Caenorhabditis elegans: one gene and its partner. The protein of the gene in region 1 purifies or fractionates together with the protein of each later gene. This does not show direct contact. Each region holds a gene or a part of one and is shown in the gene's direction. Other genes may lie near its edges.

What was found.
Region 2: the proteins of rnt-1 (region 1) and sma-4 purify together in Caenorhabditis elegans (affinity purification with western blotting, with the first as the bait; one study listed by BioGRID). This does not show direct contact.

Annotation. Positions count from the first base shown.
Region 1 is NC_003279.8:5,782,211-5,789,127, forward strand, and holds rnt-1 (Runt-related transcription factor rnt-1), read left to right. Parts: upstream 1-1,600; 5' UTR 1,601-1,630; coding exon 1,631-1,699; intron 1,700-2,431; exon of another isoform or gene 2,432-2,452; intron 2,453-2,596; coding exon 2,597-2,714; intron 2,715-2,970; coding exon 2,971-3,090; intron 3,091-3,891; coding exon 3,892-3,965; intron 3,966-4,941; coding exon 4,942-5,058; intron 5,059-5,667; coding exon 5,668-5,726; intron 5,727-5,778; coding exon 5,779-5,897; intron 5,898-5,949; coding exon 5,950-6,179; 3' UTR 6,180-6,400; downstream 6,401-6,917. UniProt on the Caenorhabditis elegans protein: Transcription factor. Binds to regulatory DNA sequences in order to modulate transcription; negatively autoregulates its own expression, perhaps dependent upon CBF beta homolog bro-1.
Region 2 is NC_003281.10:5,814,531-5,820,717, forward strand, and holds sma-4 (Dwarfin sma-4), read left to right. Parts: upstream 1-1,701; 5' UTR 1,702-1,746; coding exon 1,747-1,818; intron 1,819-2,018; coding exon 2,019-2,096; intron 2,097-2,251; coding exon 2,252-2,566; intron 2,567-3,141; coding exon 3,142-3,282; intron 3,283-3,586; coding exon 3,587-3,691; intron 3,692-3,736; coding exon 3,737-3,950; intron 3,951-4,181; coding exon 4,182-4,342; intron 4,343-4,474; coding exon 4,475-4,602; intron 4,603-4,650; coding exon 4,651-4,816; intron 4,817-4,861; coding exon 4,862-4,963; intron 4,964-5,271; coding exon 5,272-5,394; intron 5,395-5,442; coding exon 5,443-5,535; 3' UTR 5,536-5,667; downstream 5,668-6,187. Other genes in the region: R12B2.7 (Ovule protein), read left to right, coding at 704-724, 777-983. UniProt on the Caenorhabditis elegans protein: Involved in TGF-beta pathway.

The DNA of each region.
Region 1 (6,917 bases):
ATTTTCAACAAATAATTTGTGACAAGTTTGAAGTAAATATTTAGTTCAGAAAAACAAACTCACAGTTAATAAGTCAAACATGAGTTTCAGCTATGAACGAAGCTTTGAAACCGGAAATCCAAATAACTATGAGTTTTCTTAAAGTTATCATATAAAATATTTAAAGAGTCATCCTATAAGTTTTATAAGAAAAAATATTTCTAGTACCATCCCCTTACTCAAAATTACTTCTGTTAGAGCAATAAGAAAAATACCGTAATTTCATTGTTTCTTATCGCGAAAACTCGAATCTGAAATAACGAGAAATGGTGGACGATTTTGGAGAAATTATTTGATTACCTAGTGAAAAAATATTGTACGTTCTTACAATTAAGTTGTCTCCTGGGCATGTTTTGTTTGGTAATTTCCGGAAATTCCGATTTCAAAATATTTTCTAATTTGGTAACTGCCAAATTGTTAAATTACCACAAATTTTAAAATATTTAGAAAAGGAAAGGCAAAATCCAGCAACTTTTGAAAAGAAACAAAAATTGAAATTGTAAAGAATTAAATAAGATGCAAATATATTCCAACTCTATCACAACTTCCTTGTAGGTTATTAAACTTTTTTAGATTCATAAGTAAATGTTTGTCTACTTGGAAAATTGTTGAATATATAATTTTCTTCATTTTCTTATTTGAAGTCATTCATAAACTTTATTTGAATAGAGTTATCAATTTTTGAGAAGTTGGTAGTTTAAAGAATGTGTAAGCAAATAAAATAACTTCCTTTTTTCTCTGGAATTCAACAATCTTTTTCCCCTCGTTTCGTTCCGTTTTAGTAATTTTCAAATTCTTTAACCAATTTCATAGGTGTGTCTTCTTTGAACATATAAACACCCATTTTGAAACTTCGTTTCTTTCCAAACCACACTTCCGCTTTATCAGTTGAAAACGGAGCACAATCGTCTATTTATCTAGTTTTTGCGGTTGCACGGCCAAAAGACATCATTGGCTCGTTTCTGGCAATCTTGTTTTTATTTATTTGTTTACTAAATGTTATGTTAAAATTTATTCGACGAAAAAAATGTTTTTCTTTGAATTTTATGGATCAAAATATAATTTTAAGGCGGAGAAGGATCAGTGGAAATTTTGTCAAAAAACATATATGTATACTCGAAATGTTTTTTTTTTAATCTGAGTATCCAAATAAGACACACTAAAACGTTTCAGATTTGTCAGTTTTTTTTTCAGTCTTCTGACAGTTTTGGAAAAATACCTCGAAACATTTGGACCTTTCGAGGAATTCAGTATTATTGCATTCCTATAAAAAATAAAACTCGTAGAACATTTTTTGGTTGACTTCCAAAATTATTATAATGAGCATTTGTCACTGTTTGTCTGAAAATAATAAAATGCACTATGATATTTGGTCACAAAAAGCACTAGTAGTAATTTTAAATAATTTCCCTACTCCGCCTTGAAACCCCCATAAAAAATGTACATGAAGCTTTCAGATCTCTAATTTTTTTTTGTCATTATGATTGCAAGCAATAGTTTCATTGTTCTTGAATTTTCAAATACCTTCTATCACTACTCAATTAAATATGTTCATTTTCAGTGCTGGAAGTATTCTGGGAAACTAACAGAAATGACCAACGTCTTCCATCACGTTCGGAATTTTATAGAGCAACAACCTGCACCTGCTAAAACATTAGAGGTATGTATGGCACTTGAACACCTGTGATTCTTTATAAAAAAACTTCGAAGTCTTAGGTTTTCAATTTTTAAACTTTCTTAAGTCATTTATTCGGTTTTCGGAAGAAAAATCGTTTTTTAAAACCTGAAATATTGATAAACCTGGATTTTTTCAATTTTTCCTAAAATCATAATCTAGTCACTTTAACTTTAAAATTGTACCTGTATATCACAATAATTTTGAATTGAGCATTTCGATTCGAAATTGGGAAATTTTGGTTTTGTTACAGTGACTTTTAACAATTGTTCCTAAAATTTCCAAAAATCCGAACGTAAAAGAACTTACAATTTATCTAGTCTGTGAACGGAATTTCTACAGTTTTTTTTTAATTTTCGTTCATAACATTAGAAAAAGTTGAGTTAATTTTCCCGGCAAAGTTTTACAAATTTAAATGTACTTTTTTAAAAATTTCAAAACTCTTCCTTTTCTTGAGAGTATACGGTAGTTCATGACTCTAGGGTATTGATTTTCCATAGTCAATTATGAGCAGATTTTATCAAATCATCTTAAAGATTTACGAGACGGTATGAAATGAAAAATAAAAATTACACTACACCAAACTACAACTTATAGCAACATTTTTACATTTTGTTTTTGAACTTTTTTTTGCAAGACATAGAGTATATTGATTTTGCATCGGTTGGAAATTGAGTAATCAAATGAATACAGTAATCTTCATTCTCTTATCATAAAAGTATTCAGCTCAAACCACAAGCATTTCGATGATTTTGTTGAGTTTTAGAGGTTTCATTGAAATTGACTTTGTAATTATCAATCGAAAAATATTACATTTTATATAATGACGAACAAGAGTGTAAAAGAATTGTGAGATATTTTTACAAAACAATAAATTTTCAGAAATCATCATCTCCAAACATTTTATACACAGCTCTTCCGAAGCATTGGAGATCAAATAAATCATTTCAAGAACCATTTTATGTTGTATTACTAACGCCTGTTCCAGATAATACAGAAGGTAAATTATTGATTTTTCTTTTGATTCACTTTCGTATTTATATTTTTACTTTTTTCAAAACTCTCTACGATTTGAAATAAGTTTGGAATGATTTTTTTGGAATTTTGCCTTCTCTTGAATTATTGTTGAAATCATGTGATTGAGCATTTCTGAAAATGATAAAACAAACCTTATATTTGCATTGCTTTATGTTGAAATTTATATTTCAAAATAAATAAAAAAAGCAATTTCTTCACTGCTCAAATAATATTTTCAGTATCAATTTGGGCTGGAAATGACGAAAAACCATGCGAAGAAGTTCGAAATGAGAAAGCAAAAGTGCATCGACAAGTGGCAAAATTTAACGATTTGCGGTTTGTCGGGCGGTCCGGCAGAGGTGAGTACTGTAGCCAAATAACCGGTTGGCGCGGGTAGAAAAAAGGGGTAATGACCACATATTTGTGGGTATTAGTACAAAGTAGTCAACTGACAAAGAAGTACTGTATATGTAACTGCAATTGGTAGGTAAGTAGAGAAAAGTGGTGAGAGGTAAGAATGCGGGTAGAAAAAGTATGACACTTGGGAGACAAAAAAAAATGAAACTTCCTAAAATTACTAATAGTAAATTAAATAATTTAATTCCCTGATAAATACATTTCATATTCTACCTATTAGTTTCTATCAATCTATCAATTACAACGTTATGGGCTTTGAACTTCATTTTTCCTAAATTTATCAATAAATATAAAATAACCGATATGTAAAATTCCAAAGTTGAGCTCTGGGAAGTGCATGGAAATGCACGGTTTATTATAATAACGTATGGTGCATGTAACTTTTAGTTGTATCAAAAAACCAAAAAATTAATTTAACCTCTTATAAATCTATTGATTTGTGTTTTCTTATCATTTTTTCCACTTCTGTCTAAACATTTTCTCATTTTAAAAGCGCATACATTAACGGCCGTGTTCCACATTAAAATAATAAAATTTTCCAATAAACTGATGATTCCACCTGAGTAGTCTGACCGGAGCCATTATATTATCCGGAACATCAGTGTAACATAAAAATGCGCGACAAATGCCCGCATTTAATGGGATACTTTTTGTGAGGTGGCGGCGGCGGCGGAATGGAGAAGAACATCGTCGGCTCATAATAAAACTGCACATTTTCCAATCGTTTTTTGTGTCTTTTGCAGGCCGAAAATTCCATTTGACAATCGTTATACATTCGGCGCCGATGATGGTGGCCACCGTCAAAAATGTGATCAAGGTGAGTTTATCCGAATGGATTGTGGGAAGTTTTGTGGAATTCTAAGGAGAAGGGAATGTATTTATATGATATCATGTAGATTTTAAATGCGCCTATAGGTAATTGATAATTACATTGAGTAAGTATCAATCTTTTTTTGAATTAATTGGATAACTTATGATTCAAAAATTACCAAATATTTCCCTACCCAGAACCGAAGTTGTGCTATTTTTGAGGCAAAATAGATTTTTTGGCTGCTACAACTCGCAAATGAATAATACAAATTAAGGGTCTCGAAACGACTGATTTTTTTGGAATAAAAAGGAGCATGCACCTCTCAAGGGTACTGTAGTTTTACATCCACTCTAATTCTTATTTCTCTTCGAGCATCTGATTTTACAAAAAACAACGAAAAATCGAAAAAAGTTGTGACGTGAGAACTACATACTTTTTAATGAGCGTATTCCATTCTATAGCTAACATTTTAAAACATTTCCGTCGTGTCGAGACCCTGTAATTGCCACTCAAAATTTTGGAAGTCGACCAAAAAAAGCTTTATTCTTTTAAATTTTTTGTTGGGGCAAACATGAGAAATTGCTCAGAATCTCCCAAAAATGTTAGGAAATCAAAAAAAATTTTAAGCGTTTTTATGATATCAGTTATTTTATGAGTACAAATTTATACAAAATTCCCTCTTTAACTACTCCATCTTTAAGTTTTCTAAAACAATGTATAGATTTACCGCACATCAACTACCGTACTCTCTTATCTGATTATTAACCACGATGCGTCACCTGGTACACCTCTTTACAAATAAAAACTAGTTTTCAGAAAGCCTAGTAATCGGTAAATATTCTTATCAATTGCAACTTCTTATGTTGCATTGAGTTTTGGTTTATTTATTCAAATTTATTTTTTAAAAAAGGAAGCCAAATATGTTGGAATGGGAAGAAATGATGTCAGTTTAATACGATAAAACTTATTAATTTAATTATAGGTTACGGTTGATGGACCAAGGGATGCGAGAATACCAAAACCACAAGGATCTTTGAAACGGCAGGCAGAACAGCAGACAATATTCCCAAATGATATTATCCGAACGCCTGGACCACCGGTACGATTTTTTGATTTTTGTACAAACAAAATTTTGTATTAATTACTTAAGTATAGGGTCTCGAAATTACCAGAATTTGTTGAATAAAGCCTGAGAAAAAAAGGATGTGACTTTAAGAAGTACAGTAGTCTCCTTTTTCTGAAATCGAGGCAAATGAAAACGCTCCGCCCCCTCATGTTGGGTCTCGTTAGGTATTGGCGGGAATATCAGAAATTCAAACGTTTTCAATAACTTTTGCTGATTTCACCTGATTTCGAGAATTAAATTGTTTCTACTCTCAATTGACTCTAATGATTTTTACTGTGAAATAATGTTTTGAAAAGTACAGAAAAGTGAATAAGGGTTTTTATTTGATTATGAATTTTATGGCATCAGTTTCGATATAAAATTCATCCGATAATACCTAACGAGACCCAGCGTTTGGGGGCGGAGACTTTTGGCGTTGGAGCGCGCTCACACCCCCAATTTCAAAATTCACATTTTTCTGCGTCCCCAATATAAAAAATTCATTCATTTTTGAAATGTTTTTAATTTGAAAAATTCTGCAAAAAACTGTAGAAGAACATTCATGAAAAAATTGCAAACAATTTTTAAAAATTTAATTTTCAGATGCCAATGACAATGATTCCACCACCATGGTTTCCTTTACCAATGACTCAAACTTTCCCGTAAGTTTTTCGAATTTCACATTATTCATAAAATAATTTTTATATTTTTCAGCCCATCATTTTTTCCGCTTATCTCTCCAGGACCACATCCTTCTATCTCAGCTGCACTTTGGAAAATTCACAGCGAATCGATGAAAACTCCGATTAAACAAAAAGTTGAACAGGAAAATGGTTAGATTATTTTTTCGGAAATAAATATATATATATAATTTATTAATTGCAGTATCCCTTAATACGTCTACATGCCTATCATCTCCATCAATTTTTATAACTCCAACTTCTGATGATCGGAAGTTAAAACGACCATCTTCTCCTCGTTCAATCACAAAATCATCAGAAACTTCAATTAATTTAATTCAAGAAACTCCGGAATCTGTAGAATCAAAAAGACGAAGAAATGTATCAATAACTTCATCGAATAGTTCTTCTCCGACTATTTGGAGGCCTTTTTAATCTTAAAAATATTCATTATTTTACCACAACACACCAAATTTCTCTCAATTTCCAAATCTCAATTGTTTCCTACCTCTTCAGTCACTTTTCTCAATATTCTCGTTTTAAAACACGTTCAACGGGTTCATTTAACGGTTTTCAACCTTTTTTGTATAATAATACAAGTTTTGATCTAAATCGGAATAGATTATCATCATATCTAATAAAGTTTCAGGTTTGAATTCAACTAGACAACAAGTCGTACTATCGAAAAAATTTTATTCGAAAAAAAAATTAATGCGCAATCTGCGAGAAAATATGCAATTGGGGAGGATGTGAAAGAGTACTTAAGATGAATAATTTTATAAGTGATAAAAAAGATAAAACGTTACCTTCGATTCTTCTTGTATACATTAAACGAGAGGGAGGTAAAACGCAATGCGGAGAGTTTAAATCTACAGATGGGACCAAGAAAATGGCATACGAATTGATTGCGAATGACAAGGAAAAATGGCATCAGATTCGGATAAGAGTTGGGAGATGGATGATTAGAAACACAACAAAATAACAAAATTGATTAAAAAAACAAACAATTAAGAAGGCCCAAACTAAACGCTACAGGGGAAAACAAAAAAAGATGTTACAGATGCAATATGATTCACAGGGAGTTTTCTCATTCATAGTTTTCAGCAAACATAAACTACGTTGATTATTTCTACAGAACTACGAGCGACGGAACTTATATAAAATATTCGAATA
Region 2 (6,187 bases), on another chromosome or scaffold:
TATATAGCGCATTTGTATTGCCGTTCTGCTGATCATGGTCTGAAGCAGCCAACATTGTGCGGCACCGCCTCCCTAATATGAAATTTTAGTGACACACGAAGTGCCCGCTGCTGCTTCAACACTTAAAGATATGTTCTATTGATGTGACATACGTGACCGTTGGCAGATAAGCAATAAACCAGGAAAATGTCTGAAAATTAGCTATTTCCCTTTCTTTCAACTTGTGCCACTCTCTCTCTCTCTCTCTCTCTCTCTCTCTCTCTCTCTCTCTCTCTCTCTATTTTTCTCCGATTCCATCCTCTCCTCCTCTTCCCATTCACCTGTTATGATCATTTATCGTCACTGGCGCCGAAGAGACGCAGAGTGATGGGTATGTGGAGGTAGAGAACACATATGGGCACATCCCCCTTACACAAATTAGGTGTGACGGCTTCGAATTAAATTGATCGATGAGCAGTCCGCACCGATGGGACAGTTCCCGGCATATTGAACAAAACAGTGTCTCAGGCTGGTTAAGACACAATTTTATGCTACACGGTGTTGTCACGTAGATTGCGGTTGGTAGAGTTTGCAGGGACGCAGAGAGGCTAGAGACTTTGGCTGTCTGCACTCTCTCCTCGCCTTCTCACCATGTGGCCGCGAGATATATTGATGGCCGAGTTTTCTCCATTCATAATGAAACAAGTCCCCCGGATGGCCAGAAATGGTTTTTATAACTTTGTTTGTGGGTGACCTAGTTCTCTCAATTGTTTCAGATAATTTAAACTATTTTGCAGAATGGACTGTTCACATTTCTCTATCATTTTATTTTTTGCTCGCTGAGCATTTCTGATCTTTTGATGATGTACTTTTTTACTTCCTTCGTCATTCCCACCCTGAACGATAAACTAATTTCCCTTTCGATTAATGCTTTTTCTTTTCCAAAATTGCACTTTTATCATTTTCAAAGAAGAAAAAGAGATGGCATGACAATTGTCAGATGATTCTGAGGTTCGACTTTATTAAAATTAGCAATGTTTTTTTTTTATGTTATGGAGAATTTTTTAAATAGTTCTCCACTGACTCACTGTTGAATAATTTTTACTTGTAGAATTGTTTCTGTGGGAGAAGCATTCAAAAATTAATCACATCTATTTTCAGAATTCCACTCCTTATTTTAGTTGTTTGTTGTTACATGTACTTATGTACTTAGTAATTGACACATTGCACAATTATTTAAATGCGTGGTAAAGTGCACAAAACAAAGAGTATAAGAATATAGTTTGGTTTTCATAGTTGGAATGCTGGACTGATTGCTGGAATGTTGGAATGTTTGTTGTGGTAGGTCGGTGTGTCTGCTGTAGTTAGGGAGTTTTCCCTAAATCCAAGTTTTCAAACACACTTCATCCTTTCCTTGAAAGCACAATTTAAAAAGAAATAAATCATATAATTGGAACATTTATTTTTAAATTGAGATCCCATTGCTGTTTGATTTGTCCCTTCTTTCTGATCTTCATCCTTAATCGTCTTCTTCCGTTGTCACCTCGAATCACAACTTCATTTATTCTTCATTATCTGATTATCACCAACCGTTCTAAGTAAGCACCTCCCATTTTCTCCATTCAGCTCTCCCGTATTCTCTGCTTCCCGTGACTCCGCCTCTTTTTTCAACTTTTTTGTGGGTTTGCTATCATTTTCTATCTCTCAATCTTTGTCACTTTGTTCTCGAAAAACGTCTGAATTGGTCGAATAATGTTTCATCCAGGTATGACATCTCAGCCGTCTACTTCTAACCAAATGTATTATGATCCTTTGTATGGAGCAGAGCAAATTGTACAGGTGAGCACTATATTGTAGGAGACAGTTCAAGAGAGAGCGCGAGAGAATGAGAGAATATGAACATTTTTGGGGAACACTTATCTATTATAGTAGTCTAGTAATTGCTTCTGATTCTTAAAATACAAATAAAACTGTCTTCGTGCTTTGCATTTAGAAACTGAAGTACAAAATTCAGACAATATTAATTTTAACTATTTCAGTGCAATCCAATGGATTACCACCAGGCAAATATTTTATGCGGAATGCAGTATTTCAACAACTCGCATAATCGATATCCGGTTGGTTCAGTGATATTTGAAAACTAATTCTCTCAAAAATAAAATGGACCTCATTTTACTATTTTTCTGCATATGTAACGAAAAAATCAATAAACTTATATCCCAGTGACCAAATCGATAAGCTTTTCAAAATTTATTAAATCAAAAAATTTCAGTTATTACCTCAAATGCCACCACAGTTCACAAATGATCATCCATATGATTTTCCGAACGTGCCGACAATAAGTACTCTTGACGAAGCGTCTTCTTTTAATGGATTTTTGATACCTTCTCAACCATCTTCATATAACAATAATAACATTTCTTGTGTATTTACGCCTACACCATGTACATCATCACAAGCTTCATCCCAACCTCCACCTACACCTACAGTCAATCCAACACCGATTCCACCGAATGCTGGAGCAGTTCTCACAACTGCAATGGATTCATGTCAGCAGATTTCACATGTTTTACAATGTTATCAGCAGGTAGAAGGGGTCTTTGAAAAATAGAAAAATTTTAAGTAAAAATATAATGTTTTAAAATACTTGTTTTCCTATTAAAATACATTTCAAGTTGTATGGATTTTAAGTTTTCAAAAAAAATTGCTGAGAAAGTTGCATATTCATATCTGCTTGGGATTTATGAAAATTTTCGAACCAAAAATTTAGATTAAACTGAAACTTCTCTACATTTGAAAATAACGTACTAGACTTGAAATTTTTATTTGATTTCCTCTGATGAAATCATTGAATAAAACTCTGAAAATTTCAGAGCTCCAGAATTTTTTCTTTCTTGTAAACTTTAACATAAAACTTTAGGAAAGAAAAAACTCTGGAATTTTTACAAAATAGTTCTGAAACTACTTTTCCACTTTTATTTTTCAGAACAATTTTGAAAAAGGTATTCCAAAACTTGTCAAGCAAAACAAAAGAAGTTTTAATAATTAAAAAAAACTCCAAACTACAAAACAAACATTGTGGGTACGGCAGGCGCCAAGATAGCTGTGGAATTTGAAAACTGGAGCATTGAAAGAGAATTAAACAATTTACACGTGTTTCAGGGTGGAGAGGACAGTGATTTTGTACGGAAAGCCATCGAATCTCTTGTCAAAAAATTGAAAGACAAACGAATTGAATTGGATGCATTGATTACAGCAGTTACTTCAAATGGAAAACAACCAACTGGATGTGTTACTATTCAGGTTTGAAATAATACAACCTTTTGCTTCTGTACAGTAACCTAAAATTTTTTATTTTATGCTTGGAATTTTCGAAAATTTCAAAATTCCAGATATAAATTTCAGCAGTTTATGGGTATTTCAAAGAGAAAAACATGTTGCTTGCCAACTTTCTAAAATAACCAACAAAATTTTCAAATTTTTTTTCGTGAATTTGAAGTAAAATAATAATGTCAAAGTTTTTTCCGGTTTGAACATTTTAAATGGATTTTTGTTAGTACTTCCGATTCTTCAATTTTAAATACAGTTATCATCTTTAAAAGTTTAGAGATCCTTGGATGGACGCCTTCAAGTTGCTGGACGGAAAGGTGTTCCACATGTAGTTTACGCAAGAATATGGAGATGGCCAAAAGTTAGCAAAAATGAACTTGTGGTACATGAAAATGTTTGAACTCGGAAATAAACTGAACTATTCCAGAAATTAGTTCAATGTCAAACTTCATCAGATCATCCTGATAATATTTGCATTAATCCTTATCACTACGAAAGAGTTGTCTCAAATCGGATAACAAGTGCAGATCAATCACTTCACGTGGAGAATTCACCTATGAAGAGCGAATATTTAGGAGATGCAGGAGTTATTGATAGCTGCAGTGATTGGCCGAACACACCTCCTGATAACAATTTTAATGGTAAGAGTTGAACTCCAAAACTGTAAGTAGAGGTGGCTGCTCTCTCTCTCTGACTTTTATGCCTGCCTACGTACCTTCTAATACTTATTTGTTTGATATGGATGTTTAGTGAAGATAAAGGGTAGATAGAGGCATTTCTCATCTGCCCAAGATGAGCATGAATATATTTAATACAAAATCAACACTGAGAATTTTAGAGACCGATTTTAAATGTGACCCAATTTTTTTCAGGAGGATTTGCACCAGATCAACCTCAGCTAGTCACACCGATTATTTCTGATATTCCGATAGATCTCAATCAAATATATGTTCCAACACCTCCACAATTACTTGATAATTGGTGTTCAATCATTTATTATGAACTGGATACACCCATTGGTGAAACCTTTAAGGTATGTTTTTCTATGAAATCTGATGACTATTCATTCATGGTGCAAATCGCCTAGAAATTTTTGTGAAAGAGCGTGATTCTATCAAAAATGTGCAATGGCGTTATTAAATAATTTTAATTTTCTAAATTTTAGGTCAGCGCCCGCGATCATGGAAAAGTAATAGTAGATGGTGGAATGGATCCACATGGAGAAAATGAAGGAAGGTTATGTCTTGGAGCACTTTCAAATGTTCATCGAACAGAAGCTAGTGAAAAAGCAAGGTAATTTTAATTCAGGATCATGAAGAAAAATATAACACTGTTTTGCAGAATCCATATTGGTCGTGGTGTTGAATTAACCGCTCACGCCGATGGCAACATCTCTATCACTTCAAATTGTAAAATTTTCGTCCGATCCGGGTACCTAGACTACACTCATGGATCCGAGTACAGTAGTAAAGCACATCGATTCACTCCGAATGAATCTTCATTTACAGTATGTTCCCATTCAGGGAGTTTTACAAATGATAGAATGTTACAGGTATTCGACATCAGATGGGCCTACATGCAGATGCTCCGACGTTCTCGATCAAGCAATGAAGCAGTACGAGCACAGGCGGCAGCTGTTGCTGGATATGCACCGGTTAGTAGTAATTTGCAAGCAAAAAAACGACTCGACGCACCATATGGTGCATCATATGATCAGTGTACTGATTTTCTGCACGGACCCAATGCCATAGTTCACTTAAAAATTATTAGTGAAACTGACTAAATTTGCGACCAGGGTGATGTATTATTTCTGAGAATCAAAGATTCAATTTACCCTGATGATGCTTCGGGCATCAGCTAGCTAATTGTACACTTTTAATTCACAGACTCAAAGCATCATATATCACGAACACGAACAAGCAAAGCCTGATACCCAAGTTTAAAAAATATTTAAAAATTCAGATGTCCGTGATGCCAGCGATAATGCCTGACAGTGGAGTTGACAGGATGCGTCGTGACTTCTGTACAATTGCGATTTCATTTGTAAAAGCTTGGGGTGATGTCTACCAGAGGAAAACTATTAAGGTATGTCGACTACTCTATAAGAACTAGTCACCAATGACTTTTTTCCAGGAAACCCCATGTTGGATTGAAGTAACTTTGCACCGTCCTCTACAAATACTGGACCAGCTTCTCAAAAATAGTTCTCAATTTGGAAGTTCCTAACACTTATTTTTTATTTTTCTTCAATAATGATATCTACCTGTATTTACGTACCCCAGCAGTTTCTCATATTCATGTGCGTTGTAAAATCTCCTTTTTTGAATTTTTTCACTTTGGAAATAAAGTTTTTAGCATAGTAAATACAACCACACTATGTAAAAATAGGTTGCAGGAAAAATCAAAGAAATTTTAAAAAAATGAGCGGTTGAGTTTTCTCTTTTGGTGGCCGCGTTGACGAAATGGAAGAATCAAACCATATGCACCATTGTCATCATATTTACTTACCCAGAGCCATTATGGTTGATTGAAAATTCATGGTTGAATTCTCACATATGGAATATCATTCCCACGAATTCCCACTAATTTCTTCAATGAAGTTCAAAATAAGAGTGCTCGACGGTCTCTCCCCTCTGTGCCAGTGACAAAAAAAGTGCCCCATTCCGGGAGAATTATGTCCCTTGAGAACCATTTTGCCAGGGGCCGTGAGTGTGTCGCCCCCTTTCTACTCTATCCTAGTGGCCCTTTGTCTGTGCGACACAAAATATTCCAAAAGTAACACTATCATTTTTATTGTCTTCTCCTACACTCATCCCCATTTCACTGAGCCATTCCTCTGAATGTTGCAGTTTTATGTGCAATTTTTTTCAGAAATCAC